Linked DNA regions of Danio rerio. The protein of the gene in region 2 interacts with the protein of the main gene of each other region in a pairwise test. Links are inferred from orthologs where the notes say so. Each region holds a gene or a part of one and is shown on either strand. Other genes may lie near its edges.

The links.
Region 1: the proteins of phyh (region 2) and pex7 interact in a two-hybrid assay, tested with the Homo sapiens proteins (2 studies listed by BioGRID, with this or other methods). The link is inferred for Danio rerio from reciprocal best matches to the Homo sapiens genes PHYH and PEX7.

What each region holds. Positions count from the first base shown.
Region 1 is NC_133195.1:42,862,112-42,866,472, reverse strand, and holds the start of pex7 (peroxisomal biogenesis factor 7), read left to right. Parts: upstream 1-1,477; 5' UTR 1,478-1,554; coding exon 1,555-1,615; intron 1,616-2,002; coding exon 2,003-2,060; intron 2,061-3,632; coding exon 3,633-3,783; intron 3,784-4,361. UniProt on the Homo sapiens protein: Receptor required for the peroxisomal import of proteins containing a C-terminal PTS2-type peroxisomal targeting signal. Specifically binds to cargo proteins containing a PTS2 peroxisomal targeting signal in the cytosol.
Region 2 is NC_133179.1:8,314,174-8,317,654, reverse strand, and holds part of phyh (phytanoyl-CoA dioxygenase, peroxisomal), read right to left. Parts: intron 3,239-3,481; coding exon 3,070-3,238; intron 2,986-3,069; coding exon 2,904-2,985; intron 873-2,903; coding exon 691-872; intron 171-690; coding exon 21-170; intron 1-20. UniProt on the Homo sapiens protein: Catalyzes the 2-hydroxylation of not only racemic phytanoyl-CoA and the isomers of 3-methylhexadecanoyl-CoA, but also a variety of other mono-branched 3-methylacyl-CoA esters (with a chain length of at least seven carbon atoms) and straight-chain acyl-CoA esters (with a chain length longer than four carbon atoms).

The DNA of each region.
Region 1 (4,361 bases), on a different chromosome or scaffold from region 2:
AAAAGGAAACAACCCATGTGAAAAATAGTAGAGTAAATACTATAGTGTTTTTGAACCATACCATAGTAAAGTGCTTGTGGTAATTGTACAGTTAGTACAATAACACAACAACTTTAGTAATATAAACAAATGATCCAACAGTGTAGTTTTCTCCAATATCATACAACAATACATCACAGTTTACTGTAGTAAAAACAAAAGTGTTTATTACAATTTATCAGTTAACTATAGTTAATACTACACAGTGTAGTCTGTGCTGCAATAGTTATCTGCAAAAATAGTTGTCAATTCTACAGACTATTATATACAGCACAATACACTTTACTATAGTAGGCTATGGTTCAAAAACACTGTAGTATTTACCAATGGTATTTACTATAAATTACTGTAGTATTTTTTCTAATGTGGCAAGTCTTTACCGGAGAAATGCTGCCCTCTGGTGTCATTCAAATAAAGCTTCATTCATGTTCTTCATTTACTCACGTGTTTATTTTAAGACTTATAATCGCCAGATTGAAAACGTCTGATGCACTCATTTCTATTAATTACAAACAATTCAGAATTAAAGGAAAAACGCATAAACATGCACGTATATCTACAATAGATCAAAACTGCTTCTGCAAATCAGCGTCAAGGACGTCATCCACATGTGACCAACCACAGCATTGCGTTCGTCAGCTCACCAAAACACGGAAGTAAACACTTGTCATACACATGTTTTGCGCTAATATGGAAGTTAAGCAGGGCAATTGTTTCATTTGTACAGTACAATTATAGGTTTAATCGTTTTAAACGTTTTCCTAGGTGACAGTACGTATATTGGTGGTTTTCCACAAACAAAAAACGTTATTTATTGTAAATGGGTTGTTCGTGGACTTTAGACTATTTCTGCACTCGTTGAGTTATTAGAGAAACGGTATGAAGTCGTTTAAGTCTCCGGGACGTCATGGATATGCGGTGGAGATTTCACCTTTTTTGCCTTCTACGATGGCATGTGCTTCCTCTCAGTATTATGGAATAGCAGGTAACGTTAGTGGCATGTACACTACCTGACAAAAGTCGTGTCGCCTATCCAAGTTTTAGGAACAATAAATAACTTGACTTCTAGTTGATCATTTGGTATCAGTAGTGGCTTAAATGAAAATGGCTCTAGATTACGCTTATTTTACTAAGATAAACTATGATCATGCCTTGATTTTTTATTATTTATAAGGACAGTACGGTCTGACTTTGCTTGTCACTGAACAGAAATATTGTGGAATAAAAAGTCATGGTGCAGTGGAAAAAGATTTAATATTGTGTATGACTCCAATGAGCTTGGACGACTGCATCCATACATCTCTGCAATGACTCAAATAACTTATTAATAAAGTCATGTGGAATGGCAAAGAAAGCATTCTTGCAGGACTTTCAGAGTTCATTAAGACTCTTTGGATTAATCTTTAATGCCTCCTCCTTCATCTCACCCCTAGACATGCTCAATAAGGTTCATGTCTGGTGACTGGGCTGGCCAATCCTGGAGCACCTTGACCTTCTTTCCTTTCAGAAGCTTTGATGTGGAGGCTGAAGTATGAGAAGGAGCGCTATCCTGCTGAAGAATTTGCCCTCACCTGTGGTTTGTAATGTAATGGGTAGCACAATATCCTTGATATCTCAGGCTGTTGATGTGTTCATCCACTCTGCAGATCTCTCGCACACACCCATAGTGAATGTAACCCCAAACCATGATTTTTCCATCAACAAACTTTACAGATTTATGTAAGAATCTTCGGTCCATGCGGGTTCCAATAGGTCTTCTGCAGTATTAGTGATGATTGGGATGCAGTTCAGCAAATGATTTATCGGGAAAATCCTTCTGCCACTTTTCCAAATGATCAACTAGAAGTCAAGTTAATATTTGTTGCTCTTACAACTGGGATCGACGACAAGGCTTTTGTCAGGTAGTGTATGATGATTAATACAAAACTGTGATTTTGACATAAACCTGTTTCTTGGCTTTTAGGATGTGGGACACTTTTTGTGCTGGAGCAACGGGAGACAGATGTTTCACTTGTGAAGAGGTAATTTAATAATAAAAGATGAAAAAGCAATTATAAGTATGACAACAATATGTAATACAATTGTATACATAAAAAAAATTATGATTTTGATTTATTTTTATTTCTAAGCAAAAAACAATTACTAGAAAACATTCAGCATGTTTTAGCACTAATTCGGTGAACATTAGTTAATCTACTACAAGAAAAGTCTTGTGTAGCAAATTTAAACAACAAGTATTTGATGACCTATATTAATTAAAAGTTTATTTTTAATGATAATAGTGTTGTTACACTTTGCTTTTATCCAAACCTATTTCACCTATTTGTCCGCCGAAAATTAGAATTTGCTTGAAATATGACCAAATTCAGTATGGTTAATTATCCTTATAGATTTCTAAAAGGGTTAGTTCACCTTAAATAAAAAAATAGCTCATGATCGCGGCATCCTAAGTGCATATTTTAAAACTTTTCTGTTATAACAGCAAAGGAAAACCACCAGAATACATCAAAATGCTGTTGTAGTTGTAATTTCTATACGTTATAAAATTACAATTTCATTTAAGATTTATATAATTCCATGAACACTGTTTTGTATTCAGTTATGTGAACACACTTAAGACAGTCAGAGGAAATTACATAATTTATTGTAATTTTTAAAAAATTGATATTTTTATAACAAAACTGCATCAAATCGCTACAGAAGGGCTTCATTCACCCCCAGGAGCGTATGAGGCATGTTTTACTATAGATACATGTGCTGTTTTAAACTTGTACTGAAGAAATTTTCCAGTGTTTACTATCGAAGACAATTTTATATAATTAAATTAAACTCTGGATGGATTTATCAAAAGAAGTCATACACATCATGTGTCTCTTGTAGGTGAGTAAATGATGGGTTATATCACATTTTTGGTTGTACTAAACGTTTATTAAGTAAAAATCAAAAACAGGTTTCCCGGTGATGGGTTGTGGCTGGAAGGGCATCCGCTGACTAAAAAAACGTGCTGTATAAGTTGGCGGTTCATTTCGCTGTGGCGACCCCGGATTAACAGAATTAGTGTTTAACTTAATTTATGCACAAATATGTCACCCATATTTTGGTGCTTAATTTTCCTAATACTTAATTGAAAGAATTTAATACACTTTCTATGTATAAATAAAAGCATTTAGTTGACTGAGACAGACTTCAAAAAATTAAGATATGTAGTCTTTTAACCATCCACATAAAATGTCTCTAATAATAATCATAGCTGGAAAATAACCAATAATATATTTGCTCTAAAGGCAAATAAAGAAAATTGTAACATTGTGTCTATACAATATAAAAAATCAATCTGCAAATTTTCTGGAGTTAAACATTTTAGTTTGCACATACAGATTGGAAACATTTAAAATGACACATACAAGTCAGACCTTTAATACTTGTTCTGTGGTCTGTCCAATATAGTGGATGGGATTAATTGTCACAAAAATGTTACAGTCCAACTTTCTAGGCAAATCCTAATGTACAGTAGTCAAGGAGGAAAGGTCTAATCAGTAATGTGATGCATCATTAAGTAGAGCTTGAATCTCTTTTTTTTGCCTCATGGACAGTTTTGACTGGAACGATGGTCTTTTCGATGTGACATGGAGTGAGAACAATGAGCATGTGCTAGTGACCGGAGGAGGTGACGGATCTCTGCAGATCTGGGATACAGCCAATCCACAAGGTCTTCTGCAGGTGCTGAAAGGCCACACACAAGAGGTCAGTTCACAATCTCCACTTCTAAATGGGCATATTAGGGCTCTGTTTTCGCTGGTTTGTAATTGATCGCATTTAATTGTAATGCAGTAATGTGCACCTTTTATAAAGCTGCTTTGAAACAATAATTATTGTGAAAAGCGCTATACAAATAAACTTGAATTGAATTGAACTGGTGTGTTTTCGTATTAATTTTTTTTTTGCAATGGGTACATCTTGTGGTTTTGACCCAGATTTCAGGCTAGTGTACATTCTGGGGATATGTTGTTTATAATGAATGGCATAATAATTTTTTTTTATTATTAATTGTATTTTCGATTTTTGCCTTCTGAGTACTGGAAGATTTGAACTCAATTTATTACTAAACTTTTATATTATTATTATTATTATTATTATTATTATTATGCATTTCATATTATTATGTAATTTATATTTTGCATTTATATTATAAAAAATAAACATACAGTTTTGTACTGTAATTATTTAAGGGGTAGTTCACACAAAAATAAAAATTGCTCGCATTCAAGTATTTCTAAATGTTTCTTTATGAATCTTTTTCATCTGCTTACACAAAGCAGGAT
Region 2 (3,481 bases):
ATAAGACAAAGACTAAAAACCTTTCGAAATCCATTGGTTTGGTTCATTCCTGAACCGTGGATCAGCAAAGGATGGAAAAACACAGTATCTCCTTTCTCCATCTCTAAATGCACTCTGGGATGGTTTGGGTCGTAGTTCCGCACCCCGTGGTACATCTTATTTACTCCACCCTGAAAGGAAACACATAGGAAAAATTAGTTTTTCTTCTTCAAATATTTCCCAAATGATGTTTAACAGAGCAAGGAATTCTTCACAGTATTTCCTATACTATTTTTTCCTCTGGAGAAAGTCTTATTTGGTTTATTTTGGCTAGAATAAAAGCAAGTTTTTATTTTTTTTAAAACCATTTTGAGGTCAAAATTATTAACCACTTTAAGCCATATATTTTTTCAGTTTTCTACAAAACAAACAACTGTTATACAATGACTTGCCTAATAATCCAAACTTGTCTAATTAACCTAGGTAACCCTTTAAATGTCACTTGAAGCTGAATACTAGTATCTTGAAAAATATCTAATCAAATATTTACTGTCATAATGGCAAATATAAAATAAATCAGTTCTTAGAGATGAGTTATTAAATCTATTATGTTTAGAAATGTGTTGAAAAAATCTTCTCTTCATTAAACAGAAATTAGGGAATATCAAATTTAGGAGAGCTAATAATTCTTAGCATTTGTCTGCTTCTTACCTCCCATTCTGGGTAGTCGTGTTCCTGCAGGGAGCCGCGGTGTGAGCCGGGCAGGACGACCAGACACCCGTTTTCTCTGTGCACTTTCTCCATAGCCGTCCAGGAACACACTATACGATCTGCGGGTCTGAAGGGGAAGTAGTGCAGGTCCTGGTGCATAGGATGGCGGGAGGTCTTCTTACCTATAGAGGGTAAAAACAAGTGGGAATATAGGCGCTACTAGTCAAATTTAGGACTTATAAATGCATACAGTTAATGTCAAAATAATTAGCCCTACTGTCAAATTTTAATTCTTTGATTCTAAAGGATTCCCATTTGTTGCTTAATCGAGAGAAGATCATTTCAACACACCTTTAAACATAATAGTTGTTTATTTCCAATAACAACTATTTGACATTGCATAATATTTTTCTATTTATTTTGCAAGATGCTAGTATTTGGCTTAAGGTGGAAATTAAAGACTTAACAAGGTTAGGGTTAGGATAATTAGGCAAACTAAAGGACAACAGCATCTTTTATTTCAGTCAAACTTAAATAAAAAACAAGACTTTCTCCAGAAGAATGAATATTATAGGAAATACTGTAAAAATGTCCTAGTTCTGTTAAACATCACTTGGGAAATATTTGCAAAATACATTGCATACAAATTTCACTGGAGTGCGAATATTTTCACGTCAACTGTACTTAAAAGTATAGATCTCATTTCTTCATATATTATTTTTTATTAAATTATTAAAATAAAAAGATATATGTAGATACAATTCTTTAAATAGTGGTAATATAATATATATTATATCATGTAATATATTCCTATTATTACTACTGTGGTTTAGACACTTTTTTTTTTAATGATGCAATTTTTTATTTTCTTCAGTAATTTAACAGTACCTTTTAACATCCCCTTTTCCCTCCCCTCCCTAACAGCGGAAGTGGCTGTAATTAGATGTTGCTATCATAAATCCAGTAAATACAGATAAATAACATAAACTCAATTAAAATAAATAAATAAAATAAATGAATCCACGGTTTAGACACTTTTGATGTAGAGTATTATGTGATTTATTACAACTTTAGTACTGTTAATTACTATTGTTAGTACTGCTTTGAATTTGATGGCTTCATACGTATGTGTAAATATAAAAACATATAAATAACATATATATTCACATACAGTTGAAGTTAGAATTATTAGCCCCCCTGATTTATTAGTCCCTGTTTATTTTTTTCCAAAATTTCTGTTTAACGGAGAGAAGATTTCTTTAACGTATTTATAAACATAATAATTTTAATAACTAATTTCTAATAACTGATTTATTTTATCTTTGTCATGATGACATTAAATAATATTTGACTGGATATTTTTCAAGACACTTCTATACACCTTAAAGTGACATTTAAAGGCTGAACTAGGTTAATATATACTAGGCAACTAGGCAGGTTAGGGTAATTAGGCAAGTTACCGTATAACAGTGGTTTGTTCGGTAAACTATCGAAAAAAAAATCTTAAAGGGGCTAATAATTTTTACCTTAAAATGGTGTTTAAAAAAATTAAAAACTGCTTTTATTCTAGCCGAAATGAAACAAATAAGACTTTCTCCAGAAGAAAAAATATTATCAGACATACTGTGAAAATGTCCTTGCTCTGTTAAACATCATTTGGGAAATATTTAAAAAAGAAAAAATAATTCAAAAGGGGGCTAATAATTCTGATTTCAACTGTGTGTGTGTGTGTGTGTGTGTGTGTGTGTGTGTGTGTGTGTGTGTGTGTGTGTGTGTGTGTGTGTATATTTATTTATGATAATTTTTTTCATATTATTTAAAATAGCATATATTATTTTAAATAATAATTTAAAATAGCAATAGCAAATTAATGTAATAATATAAAAAAATAATCATAAATATAAATATAAATATATATATATTTATATATATATATATATATATATATATATATATATATATATATATTTATATTTATGATTATTTTTTTATATTATTAAATTAATTTGCTATTGCTATTTTAAATGCTATTTTAAATTATTACGAACTTCCAATTCTAGACTATAATTATTACGTAAAATGTACATTTATTTCAGATATTATTTAAAAAATCCCTAGAATATTCTCCTGCTTATCAGGCTTATACCGTGTCTACCCAAGGATGTTAATTCAAAAACACATCCGACTTGGGCAACTGAAGCATTGATATTTACCTGTGTCTGGTGGTTTGTTGATGAGCATAGTGTGCATGGCCATGATGTTGGGTCCAGTGAAACACTCCACATACTTCAGGATCTGAGAAACAAACATTTTAAATGATTATATATGAATGTGCTCTTGTTGTAAAGAGTGTTATATATGCATTAAGCTTGGGTCTACCTGGGGTAAAACGCAGTAGCGGAAAAGCTCTGGATCTTCTTGATAATCCTGAAGTTTGGTCACAGCCTTCTCGCCCTCAACAAACTCTGATTTAGCGATCGAAACATCTTTCATTACCGTCAAACCAGGCACCTTCACCTCTCTCTTACAGATGCGCTCAAACTCGTTCCTACAAAACACACACAAGCACCTGGTTATGAGCAAAGTAGAGCGCTGACCGCTTTTTTTATCAGCGTTTCTGTAAATGATTTACATTGTGTTTACATAATCTCCTGTTAATGGAGCTGAAAAGAACTTCTGATTGATTTATTGTGGAATAATGCATTGAATTTTAAAATAATACACACATGGTTATGGTCATGAATTGATATAAACCTATTGGATTCTTGGATTTTATTTAAAGAATGCATGG